Caenorhabditis elegans: one gene and its partner. The protein of the gene in region 1 interacts with the protein of each later gene in a pairwise test. Each region holds a gene or a part of one and is shown on either strand. Other genes may lie near its edges.

Region 1 (6,650 bases):
ATGTATTGTATTTCATCATTTTAGCACCATATGTAGATTTTAAATATTTTCCTAACTGGCGCAACGCAGTTTTCGAGAAAGAATAGTTTCTTCTACTTTAAATTTTTAATCATTCACACGTTGGAAAATTTATATAATTTTTTCGACGTAAAAAATTAGAACAAAATATGTAGTTACTATAATATTATAGCTGTGAACAAAAAATATCAGGTTTAACAAAAAATTACAGAAAGTTTATATTGATTTGGTAAAAACTTCAAAGTTAATGCACTTGAAAAGCAGAATTAAAACTGTTTGCCGCCTAAAAAAAATGATTGTCTTGAACTTATTTTTGATTAGTCAGTTATTCGCATATGTAAAAGTGACAATTTTATCAGTTTCTTAAACACGATTATTTTCAAAACTGTTCCACTTGATTAAGCACAATACAACCAATAAGAACATTTTTTGTTCATTCAACAATTTCAATTTCTTTCCAATTTCCAGGTTACGTAATAATCATCGTGCATCTGTTTTTAGCTCCCCAGCAAACCAAACACGTGTCTCGTCTTCCATGTGTCTTAGATTCTTACAAGGCAATAAGATACTTCCACATGTCATACATATTCGTTGCCCCTCGCCACTAGTTCCCCATCTCCCCAGAGCTAACAAAAATCGAGATTTGCAATTCGTTTTAGTTTTTACTAGTAGTATAAATTCGAAATTTCTTGATATTGAGAATTTTAGAAAATCTTAGTAGTCTGTTCATCATAAAAAATCTAATCATTTGCAGCATTGAGGTTTCGGTTTCACCATATTCACCTTGTGTGAAAGTCGTTTTCAAAAAGTCGATTCCGTGATGTTTGCGTATATCGTATTGTCCCTATTAGTATTGTATGCAATTAAAATTTTTCAATTTCTCATTTTGAGTGCAAGTCTAATAGGGAAAATGTGGTAAGTAACAAAACATAGTGGTTGCATCCATATCGTTGAGTTTTATGTCGACTCTCAAAATTAGTAATGAAATATATTAGCTAATTGCCATATTAAGCCGGTTAATAAAATAATTTAAACTATATTTTGGAAAGAGAAAAAAATTGATATTTTCATTTTTAAGTCATGAGTTAATTCGAAGAATTTTCTCACTGGAACTATTCCACATTTTATTCCGTCAATATAGCAACGGTGGGGAAATCGAAAGATCACTAATACAAGTTTTGTTACATGTAAAACTTTTACACGTTTTTAATGAATTCAAATGAATTGTTCATTGATTCAATATTCTTCTCACATATCAACAGTTTTTATTTTCACCTCCCAGTTTTTTCAAATTTAATAGACATAGATAAAAAGTTCGGCCTTTTTCTATCTGTGTTTTCCATTGACACATTTGATCAGGAAGCTAATACAACATATGGGTGGGTGGGCAGAGAGGTCCGCCACGTTTTATTTTTGCTGTTACTGCGTCGAATTGAAGGGCACATCAAAATGAGTATTACAACACGATCCACGGAGCTTAGCGTTGCTCTTCTCGAAACAAATGATCAGAGGAGTAGAAGACACAACGCGATTCCAGGAGAGCACTGAAATCCCATCAAAACGTTGCCCGAGCTCTGATGTCTTTAATGTCCAGCTCCAGGCCGCCACACATTGTACTATTCGGCGAGCCAGCCAACTGACACCAGCCGTGTGTCCTGTCTTTTGCTCTCCTGCCACCTCCTCCAGTTTTTTGATGCTACTTCAATACATTCTGTCTGATCGCAGCCAAGCACTCGCAAATCAAATCTCAGCAACCCCCGCAATGCGACGGCACATCGAAAGCTATTCCCATTCTTCATTCCAGAATCTTCTTATTTCTTTTTCTTCCCCTTTCCTTCTTCTTCGTCATCTTATGCTTCTTCTTTCTATCCCTTTTCCCATTTATGTCTTCTAGTTCAACTCATTTCGTTTTCAGCCCATTCAACTGTGCTTCTTCTGCATATTTTAATTTCAAAACTTACTTTCAGAGTTTTGTTTCTTTTCCATTACAAAAACTCGAGACTTGTCTGGAATGAGAATCAAATCATATACTTTTTAATAAATATATTTTTGCTCACTCAATCTATGATGAAAAAAGAAACTACTTCAACCAAAACTGAGTATTCAGTATTCTCTCCCCTTTTCCTGCCTCTAGCTACATAATAAGACCTTCATTAAATTTTTATTTGTGCTCACTTCTCGTTTTGAAGTCTTTCTATTCACTCACATCAGTCGTCGTTTTTCACGCACTACTACTTCAAATTTGTATGTTTTGAGCAACGTAAAATTGTTTCTACCACCAATTCTTAGATCCGAAAATTTCATTTTTAGTATTATAATTTGATTACTATTCGCTGTCAGATTCATGACCGAGGCTAACAAAACACGCAATGAAACGCCTTTCAAGAAAGCCATTACACGATAATTACCGCTTAAGCTGTCAGTTTCGGAAGCCCTCGCGAAAAAATGGTGTATGCTCATTTTGTTCTCAGAGCTTCTGCAGAGCACTTCACTCACTTCGAATTTTCCTTTCAACTACAATTATTGTCCTTCTATCCACCACCTTTCCTTGCTTCCTAACAACATCCGCTCAACTAACAACTCTCACCTTCACGTTTTTGGTTTCAAAAACTAAAACACTCGCACTGAATCAGTTGGTGATGGCCATTCCACCATAAATTCATTGTTTAATTTTAACTTCCCCTATAGCTTCCATTACCTTTTTTCACCTAACATGTCTTTGCGCTTCTAACTTCGAAAATCTTATGTTTTCCGATATTATTTTCTCCCTCTGTTCACTTCGCTCGCACTTGCACTGTCCCAATTTAAACATCACCACTCGCACATAACCACGTTAAAAATTGTAATGTTTGTTATTTGTAAAATTTTGCAGATTGAAATTTTCAGAATGTATTTAAAATTTCAAAGTACTGCGATAGGCGTACAGGTTATTGTAATATACTCCTACAGTGGTTCGAACAATACATTACAACTAAACTGACAAAGTGTTTATTGGAGCACCAAAATTGGTTCATTACCAACAATAACAATTTTGAAACCATGTCTGAAATATATGACGATCATGTACCTAATGTGTTTTTTTTCTGAAAAACAGTCATAAATTTGGTAATCAATTGCTCCAGAATCTCTTGGCTGAATACAAGGTAACCAACACAATGTTGTCGTACTTCTTCACTTCTTACATCAACCTGCCAAAGTGAGCGCATGCATTTCAGTCATTTTTTATCTTTTTAATATACACTTACTTTCAAATTTTTGACTAGAAAGTTAGTTGGATCTGCACTAATGTTTCAATCGCTTAATAACACACCCATCACTAAGTCTTCCTTTATTTATTTTTTTTTCGAACAACATTCACTGAGCTGATAAAAATACCGTTTGTGTGCGTATCGTTCCAGCAAACCTCACACCCAAACACTTTAGACTCATTCCGTTTCATGGTTTTGCCTCTTCTATCAATCTGTTTTCAATTTGAATCCCCTTTCTCACGTTTACACACACCCTTGAATACCTTCACACCCACCGTACCTCTAACGCTTTCCACCAATTGCTTGGCACATCCCATAGTAGTCGTAACCTTTGTTTTCTGTAAATGTGCTTCTAATCAATTTGCATTTAAGGACTTGAAAATGAGCCAAATTGATGAGAACATTCGCTACGGCGGAGCTGCCAACGAAACCGATGGCGAGGTAAACAAAACAAAGTCATTTGTGTTTTTGAAACGATATTGTTCAGGATGCCCAACGAAAAGCCCAAGAACGCGAAGCCAAAAAGGCCGAGGTGCGCAAGCGCCTTGAAGAAGCAGGACAAAAGAAACAGAAGAAAGGATTTTTGACTCCAGAAAGAAAGAAGAAGCTCCGCGTAAGAGAACATTTGACTTTCAACACTTACAGATTCATTTTCAGAAGCTTCTTATGAACAAGGCTGCTGAGGATCTTAAGACACAGCAATTGCGGAAGGAACAAGAAAGAGTCAAGGTCCTTGCTGAAAGAACCGTTGCTCTTCCAAATGTTGACAGCATTGATGATCACGGTTCGTTCAGTGCTTTAGGCAACAAACAAAATTGTGTATATTTCAGCTAAGCTCGAGGCTATCTACAATGATTTGTTCTCCCGCCTCTGCAACTTGGAGGAAGAGAAATATGATATCAACCACATCACCACAGAGACTGAAACTACAATTAATCAACTCAACATTGAGGTTAACGATCTTCGTGGAAAATTGTATGTCTTTAAATAAACCCAGCAGTGCTAGTGTGTTTTCACCTGCTCCAATTCCGCATGACATGAGAAAAAACTATTTTCAGCGTAAAACCATCATTGAAGAAGGTGTCCAAGTATGACAACAAGTTCAAGAAGATGGCTGAAGCCAAGAAGGAAGATGGAAGCAAGAACTTGAGAAATAATCTCAAGACAGTAAAGAAAGAGAGCGTCTTCACTCAAATTGCCAACAAGGTAAGTTTGTAATAAGTTTAACTGGAATATAAAACTAGTTTTTACTTGAACTGTCAAGAAAAACATGTTAACAAAAAGTAGCCTGCCAGAAAAATTTCTAGAACACATATTTTGTGTTCACAATATTGAAAACTGGCTGAAACAATACATCAATATAGAACATTAAATACAATGTTTAAAATTGACATTTAGAATCCAAAAAACTCAAAATAATAAATTATATCAATTTGTAGTACTCAGAAACATATACTTATTTTATCAACATAACTTTAAAAATTGTTTTCAAATTGATATTTGATGAATTGAATTTACAATAATCCACATTTCAGAAGAAATCTGACAAGCCAGAATGGTCCAAGAAGAAGGAAGAGAAGAAGGAAGAAAGCGCCCCAGAACCAGTTATTGAGCCAGTTGAGGAAGAAGAAACTGCTGCTTCTGAGGGAGAAGAAGAAGAAGAAGAAGCCGACGAGGAATAAATACCGGCATTGTTGTCATTATCTTGTTCACTGAATCTAACTAATCATTCTCGCGTATAATACATTTCATCAATTCAATTTATGTGCCTTTTGAGTTTGAGTATTCTTAAAATTTTGTGCATGTAAAAGGTATTTGGCCCTTTTTTATAAATCTTCATTTGTTTTGTTCTGCCGTTATACTGTTTCAAAATTTCCAGTATACATTCTTTGTATTCTTTCAGTAATATTCCATCTTATTCTTTTCTGCATATTCGCAATAAATGAAGTTATCACCAACCCGGAATTACAGAGCAAAACTCGAAAGCAGCACAGAAAGGCATTTCTATTTGTGTGAATTATCCTAACGATTTTCAGCTGTCAAACTAACAAATGTAAATGAAACAGGGAATAAGGCAAAAACACCTGGAAACGCAAATCGCCGCCTTCTCCGACGTCACCAAGTGTAACCGGGTTGAGACGAAATAAAAGGAGCTCGATAAGCCATTTTGATTCTGAGTTAAACTCGAGATTGGTTTAATATGGAAAGAGTTCAATTTTCATCCTACGATGAAATGCTCCACTACAACTCACGAGTTGCGAATCAATTCCCAGGAGTTGATTTGAACGTTTTTCGGAAGATTCACTATCTGGAACTTCTGTCACAAATGTTTGGTATGTTAGTTCACAATTTTTTTAATACATTTATAGTTTTTAGGATTCCTATTTTACACTTTCTACCTGATAATTTTTCTGGTTCACGGAAAAACATTCTTCATCTCCGAGCACACATTCAAAGCGATCTTCATTATTCAAATGATCACTTTCGGCGCGGCACTGGTCATTCAGAAGGTATTCAATTTTAGTTTTAAAACTGTAGCATCACACAATTTCAGTTTTCCTTTATGGTCAACTCGGTAGAATATGTTACGTACTCAACATTTCCATTTATTCCAAAGTTTGTGATCTCCATTTGTGATCGGCTAGTAACGGCTCAAATGCCTTTGTATTGGTTTGTTGTCAGTGCTTTTCTCATAATTCAAATTGCCCAATTCGCTAATCAAAAGTATGTGTTTCTGTCAAAACAACATTCTAATAAATACATTTTTCAGTCCACGCGGAATTAAACTGGCACATACCTACTTGATACCTTACGGAATAATCATTACCCTCATTTCCTTCATTACCCCGGTAATATTTTCAAGAGAAGCTCAGAAACTAGGAAATCGTTGTTTTCAGGATCATATGAAACTTTTTATGATCGTCGTCTGCTTTCTAATCTGGTGGATTTATCGAAAGCATATGATTGCCCAGTTGTACAGCCAAGACATGACCGCCCGCGACGTTTTGAATATGCGCCGGATGAACATCTGGCTGTCCAGTCAGGTGAGTCTCATTAAAACTCAATGTGTTATATCAATAAATTGGATTTATTACAGATTTTCGGGACACTGATCTTCCATCTGCTCGACTTAGGAATGATGCTGGCTATCAAGTCGTCTGTGACTGACACTGGAAGACAAACCTATTACGGATTCTATAAGAATGAAGTAACAAACCATTCAACAAACGATAAAAATCAATGAATAAATTTTAGGTGTTTAAAGTGGTCACGTGGATTGCCACGTATGCAAATGCATTCATTTTTGCCTGGTCAACAATCAATTTCATCAAAACCGACGCTTCTAAGGAGCCGACCACACTTCCAGTTTTTGTTAATGGTTCG
Region 2 (6,650 bases), on another chromosome or scaffold:
TTTCTAGATTTTTTCAAAAAAAATGTTCCAAAAACCTTTCAAAATGTGCTGTCCTTGTGCGCTGTTAAAATTATCAAAAATTTGCGCAAATCCACGTTAGAAGCAGTTTTAGGTGCCTATAGAAGAGATCTATAGATAGTGAAAAAACGTAACTAATTTTTTGGTTGACTTGGATGAAAAATTCTTTTTTTTTCGAAAGAAAAGTTCTTGAAAAACTTCCAAAATATGTTACCCTCTAATTAGACGCCAATAAATTATTGTTTTACTTGAACCAGTTTTAGGTGTCTATTAATTAGTGAAAAATTTCAATGAAAAAATATCATATCGACCTTTTTCTAGTTCAAAGTGCTCTTCTGTAGCTAAATTTTTCGCACTGACCAAATTAAAAATTTCTCTTTCAAATAATTTTTTCAGAAATGCGTTAAATGCATTCTATGTGACTAATGTTTTTTTTGAGGTTAAATATTGACTGATTGCTGGTTATCAAAACTTTAAAAATGTCTAACTAGCCGGTTGAAGTTATCGGGCTCAAAAAGTCCAAGACTCTAGTCTGCACACCGGCACTTGTTCTAACAAAAACCTTACAAAAAAATCGTGTAACTTATACAAATGAGCTTTTTCCTCATTTCCGTGGAAGAAAATTTCCGGATTCCCTTTTGTAATTTCTTTATGTGTACACTTTTCCCCGCATTCATCGAATCATAACCAAAATGTTTGCTGCGGCGGGCGGCAGCGTCGGTCAAAGAATGGCATTTCGGCGGCGGCAACGGAATCATCGGATCTCATGCAAAACACTCGGGTGAGGCTCATTCTTTCGCAGAAGTTGGCTGATGATGATGAGGATGATAATGATGATGATCCGTGTTTGCTCTGAACGACTGGGGAGACATGCGAGAGAGAGTCGCCCTTTAGAGAAGCAGGATCACTTGAGCACACATACAAAATTCCCGAGAGTTTATCACTGATAAATGGACGGGCGGGGGGAAAAGAGTGGACTGTCCGAAATTTGTGCGCAGAGAAACATTTATGTGCACTCTCTCTCTCTCTCTCTCTCTCTCTCTCTCAAAAGTTTGTATGCAGAGCTTGGTAGTACAAGCCTGTCGACACAATCGGAATGTTGAAATTTTTCGAAAAATCGAACAGTGATAAGGGATATAGGATAAGAGTGTAGGGAGAGGAGCGTGCTTCTACTATTTTGGGACAAAGTCGGAACTTCACTGCTCTCCAGATGTTCAATGTTTATCCAGGAACACTAAAAATAAAACTTGTTCGAGTGGGTAGAAAAGTTGAAGTTCCTGATAGACATATCGCAAATTACCTGAGGAAAGAAATCCTCCCAATTTCCAGGCAAAAAAAATCGTTTAAAATGTCCGAACTGCCATATTTTCCCTATTATACATACTTGTAGAGAAATAGTTTGAAATCGCAATTAAAAAAATGAAACTGTAGATTATCCTGTTTACCTGCGTGCCTACCAGGGGTGTGCGGCAAATTTACCGAATTTGCCGAATTTGCCGAGCACGGGAAATTTCAAAAAAGTAGATTTGCCAAATTTGCCGAGCTCGGCAAATTTCAAAATTTGTCGCACACGTCAAAAATTTGACAGTACAATTTTGACTAAAACTATTGATTTTTTCGCCAAAAAATTACAAAATTGAGTTATTTAGATGCATAAGCAAACATACTACACGGAACTTATTCGGAATCCAGGTGATTGTTCAGAATTCAGTAGTTTTGGTGCTCCAAAAAGCATCAATGAGTATTAATTTTTTGGAGTTTGTTGAGCACGGCTAATTTGCCGTAGGTAGGCACTTTGATGCCTCGGCGTCCCATATGCAGAACAAGCTCAAAACAGACACAACTCTGGAATATGTACGGCAATTAAAACTGAGCTTTTTCTGCGTATCTAAAGGTCAGACACAGCAGTCCAGCTCCAATTTAAGCCTTGTTCGAGCCGGGGACTGTGACCAATAGTCCAGTCGTGGATTGCTCTACTTCCCACTTAAGGCTGGATGGACCTAGTGGGAGGTAGGACTTGAACTGGTGACCTCTAGATTGCTGGCGGCCACCACTGGTTCATTGTGTCCGGACCTCGATCGCGATGTCTCCACTGAGACATTATGCGTACATCTTAAGTTGTTCGAAGACTCTCGCATGACTTCCATGTTTCTTGTTCCAATAATTCCCAGACGTCACAAAGCATATTCCACGTGTTTTTTTTAAACCGCGTTTGGACGAGTGTTGGGAAAAAAAGAGAGTTGTGCTCTCATAATGGAGGTGTATTATGTGCTCACTTTCTCTCTGAGAAGTTGCCTCTTCAAGGATGATGGCTTCCCGTCTCCGGCCGTGGTCTACACCACCCGCGTGTGTTGCATCCCAAAACCGGATACTCTTACCTGCCGGTCAGTTGGCCCGGCAGCTCTCGCTGTCTCTCTGACGCCACCGCTGCCACTCGAGTGCACCGAGTATAAAGAGCACAGTGCTCCGACACTTTAGAGTCAAATTTTCTTCCGATGGCAAATCGGCTACTCACACATCAGGAACAGATTTTGCTCTGTTCTCTGTTTTTAAGATTTTCTAGACACCGTAGTTTCCCTATTAGACATGCAACCCTTGCTCTATTTTGTTATATCTCTGTTCCCTTCGGTTCTATCAAAAAACTGTCATTAACTGACAAAACACGTGCAAAATATTTATCTACAGTTAGACAGTAAACGCCGCTTAAGTAGATCAATGAGTTTCATGTCCAATATGCTAAATACGGTAGGAATCATTTTTTCAACTATTCTAATTTTTCTTGTAGCATTAAAAAAACTATCAACTAACATCCTAACTACTATTTAAGTATCAAGCATTGCAAAAATTTAAAGAAGCAAAAGGCTCTTACTATTAGAAAGCTATATGTTTTCCATTGACCACAGACTCCGGGCTTTTCATAAAAACCTTAGCAATCCGAATATAATTGGAAAGTTTCTATATATGCTTCAACCGTGATAAGATAAGTTGAACGACATTTTGACAAGCGCGCGCTCACAATCTTTTGGTGTATGTGTGTGTGTGTGTGTGGGGTCACTCAAGTATTTGAACATCAATCGTCCACTTCATTTTACAAACACATAGACTGGACTGAGCCCGATGGGGGAAATGAGAGAGTTTCGTGCCGCGCGCAAAGAGCACGTCGCCGCGCGGAGGCGCCAGAGTCTAAGCTAACACAGAAAGTCGGAGGGAGACGAAAAAGAGAAGACGGTCAGTTAGTGTCCCCTCCCCTCTCTCCTCACTGTTACGTACAAATGACCATTTAGTCTTGCTGCTCCATCGGGCTTCTCCTTGAGAACAAATCTTCAGATTTATTTTTGAGTTACCTTACTCTACCTACTAATTTTACAGTTTTACTTACATATTACTCTTTATTATTTATCTGAATCTTTATTAGTTTCCTGATATAATATTATTATTATTATTAAAATTTCAGGCCAGCGCAGGGTCAGGTGTTCCTACTTGTCTTAAAACCTTCAAATAACTCATTATGAAGCAACTCGCCATCTCCTTCTGCATTATCCTCCCCCTCGCCTGCTTCTGGGTACTGAACGCAGAAGACGCGAAAGAAGGTATGTTGTCACTCACTCTTCAACTCCTAAAATCCGACTTTCAGCTCCAGAAATTCGTGAAGCCAACTCCACAGTATTCCGTCAGAAGAGGCAGTTTGGATGCCCATCCAATTGCTATTCCTCATGCAGTTCCTCGTCCCAGTGCCAGAGATATTCTGTCGCATCTGTCTGTGTCCAAGGATGCTGTTGCCCAGGAAACAATAACCTTGATAGTAAGTTTTTTTAATATGAAGGTTGTGTAGGAAGTTGAAAAATTGCTTTTTTTCATAAATCAGAGATGTTAAAGAAAACGTCGCAATTATTAAAAACTAGGAGCGGGGATAGCTCAGTCGGTAGTATTGATAATTAGCAATCTAGAGGTCACGAGTTCAAGTCCTGGCTTCCCTAGGTTCAGTGTACCCAGATCCGTTCATATCGCTTAAGTAACGCATCGTCCTTTAACCCTTTAGTAAGGAATATGAGATAAAAGTTGAATGCTGACACCTTTAAAATTTAGATCTCCCTTAGTTCAAACCTCAAACCTTATCAAAATCATATCAAGAGATATCAAGAATCCAGTCACCGTTCCAATTTCTCAAGTGTCCCCGCCGTTCCCTTCCGGTTCGAGCAAACACACACACTGATTACCTAATGATTGCTACAACTCCCGGGGAGACGCTGCTTAGTCCCTTTTGCGGTGATGGAGACACCTTCTTATACGGCTCAACATAAATACAAAATATTTGCGAAGTTTCGCGGGGTGTTTGCGTTTGCTCGGTGCGTGCTGCTGTGCTCTGTGTCTCACGAAGTCGGCGCGGTTTGGACAACACGCACGAACCTATCTTTTTCTATCTTTAGCTCGTATCAGAACGAGTTCAAATATGGGTGTGGAAAGTCGTCTAATTCCAACAAAAATTTCAGCCGCCTGCTCCGGAGGACCAGCCGTCGCCGCCTGCCTCGGAGGACTCTGCGGACAAGGATTCTTCTGCTCGAGCAACAACTACTGCTGCAGATGCCAATCCGGAAACAGCACGGGACCATGTGTAAACCAGGTCTGCCCAACCGGATTCATGTGCAACACCAACAACTACTGTTGCCCACTCGGATCCGGAGGAGTCCTCGGATCATGTGTCAACGGAGTCTGCCCAACTGGATACACCTGTGGAGCTGGAAACTTGTGCTATTTGAGCAGTGGAAAGTAAAAAAATGGAATTCAATTTTTCCCTTTTTTCATGCGACAAATTGCCCCCAGTCTTTCTATATTTTTATATATTTTTTTAATATATTGTACTTTCCTTCTCCGTTCTCTGACTCTCTGCTCCTTTTAAATTATTCTAATCTATTTGAAACGAATCGTTCCCACCACCAAGACAACAACATCAACAACAAACGAAATCCCAAAAAAATATTTGAATTGTTTTTAAATTTAATTTGTTTATTTATTATTTTATTTTAATTAATGAAATAAAAAAAGAAACATTTGACACTCTACGACGATATGTGAGAAAAAATATTATAGTTTGCAAATCAAAATTTTCAAAATTTCAAACAAAAAAAAGTATAGTTAATTATGCGAAAAAAAAACATTGAGAGATGCTGATGATTTCTGTCATGAAACCGGAAAAATATGAAATAAAACTTAAAGTAGGGGGGCACTGGGAAGAAGAAAAAAACAAAATCATAATGCAAATGTGCTCTAATAATAACTAATTCAAACAATTTTATGCTCGTCGTGAGGATGATGATCATAATCATAGTCTGTATGAACAAATGCACGTTCAACTTCCGGCAAGCTTTCGATGTTTGATTGGAGGGTCTCACTGATGTCATGGGATTCTTTGAGGATCATATTCTCGTCGAGCACAATGTGCACCTGGAAATATTACAGATTTTAGAGTAGCACAATAATTCAGTTGTAAGCTCAGCCTCTTCAGAAATGTGCGATACGGGCTTATGTTAGGCCTAGGTGTAGGTTTAGGCCTAGGCTTAGGCTTGGGCTTAGGCTCAGGCTTAGGTTCAGGCTTAGGCTTGAAGAATCCAGAGAAAAAATATTCTTACCTCAACTAAAAACTTGCTTCCAAAATGGTACACATAAACCGTATCAATATGTGAAATCCGAGCATCATGATCCAAGCAGACTTTGATGATCCTATTAATGAACTCTGGCTCTGCAGTTTTACCCGACAGCTTTGCCAAATGCTCCCGTCCAGTTTGCACCCAGGTATACAAAATGTACATAGAAACCACAATAGCACCGGCTGGGTCAAAGTAGTACGAGTACTTGGTGCCGAGCCAGGCACAGATCAGGGCGACCGTGTTGGAGATGCAATCGTTGCGATGGTCCATTGCGAGCACGTTGACCGATGGTTCCTTGTATCGTTTACAGAATAGGTAGAGGGACAGCTTGACGAGAACTGTTGACACCATGATGACTACAGAGGTGATGGTGACGTTGAGCTTGGGTTCTTCACCGATTCCTGGAAATTTTTAGGATTGTAACTTAAAATCCATTGCTGAGGGAGGGGAGCATAGATTGAAGGATCAGGGAAGGATCAGAGGTAGAGCTAGTACATCCTGTAGGAAAACTTTGAATTCACTTTTTTAAAAATTTTATAAGTTCATCACTTTGTGGGCGAATATATTGAAGATTTCCTCCAAAACTGAGAACCGCAAGACTAATCAGCTCAGTTTCCAACCAATCAGACAAAATGAGTTCGAAGACGCTGATTGGTTCGAAAATTAGAAGGGCTCCTAGGTTTGGAGCAATTTCAAACAATGTTTTTAATCAGAATTTCAGACTATTTTGAGTCTTTCCATGCAAAATTCAATTCAGCATTTCTTACCATAAAGATGGAATTGAATTCCATCATGAATTCCTCTCACCGACGCAATGATCAATTGAATCGACGCCATTCCCATGATCACACTGATCAAAATCAAGGACAATGGCTCCAACCTGGTCCTTCCTCTCGGATACAGATAAGGATCCCTTTTCTTGATCATTCTTTCTGAAAGTGAAATGACAAGTCCTGAAGTGATATCTACCACAGAATCAACCATCGA

What was found.
Region 2: the proteins of tni-1 (region 1) and R02F11.1 interact in a two-hybrid assay, tested with the Caenorhabditis elegans proteins (one large-scale study listed by BioGRID).

Annotation. Positions count from the first base shown.
Region 1 is NC_003284.9:11,374,459-11,381,108, reverse strand, and holds tni-1 (Troponin I 1), read left to right. Parts: upstream 1-3,638; 5' UTR 3,639-3,647; coding exon 3,648-3,707; intron 3,708-3,753; coding exon 3,754-3,879; intron 3,880-3,923; coding exon 3,924-4,050; intron 4,051-4,096; coding exon 4,097-4,241; intron 4,242-4,324; coding exon 4,325-4,472; intron 4,473-4,801; coding exon 4,802-4,948; 3' UTR 4,949-5,222; downstream 5,223-6,650. Other genes in the region: F42E11.3 (Brp/Blh family beta-carotene 15,15'-monooxygenase), read left to right, coding at 5,500-5,599, 5,643-5,776, 5,821-5,990, 6,037-6,115, 6,164-6,310, 6,364-6,510. UniProt on the Caenorhabditis elegans protein: Troponin I is the inhibitory subunit of troponin, the thin filament regulatory complex which confers calcium-sensitivity to muscle actomyosin ATPase activity.
Region 2 is NC_003283.11:4,797,622-4,804,271, forward strand, and holds R02F11.1 (CC domain-containing protein), read left to right. Parts: upstream 1-3,472; 5' UTR 3,473-3,526; coding exon 3,527-3,608; intron 3,609-3,652; coding exon 3,653-3,820; intron 3,821-4,508; coding exon 4,509-4,789; 3' UTR 4,790-5,063; downstream 5,064-6,650. Other genes in the region: R02F11.3 (Cation efflux protein cytoplasmic domain-containing protein), read right to left, coding at 5,299-5,460, 5,646-6,064, 6,431-6,650.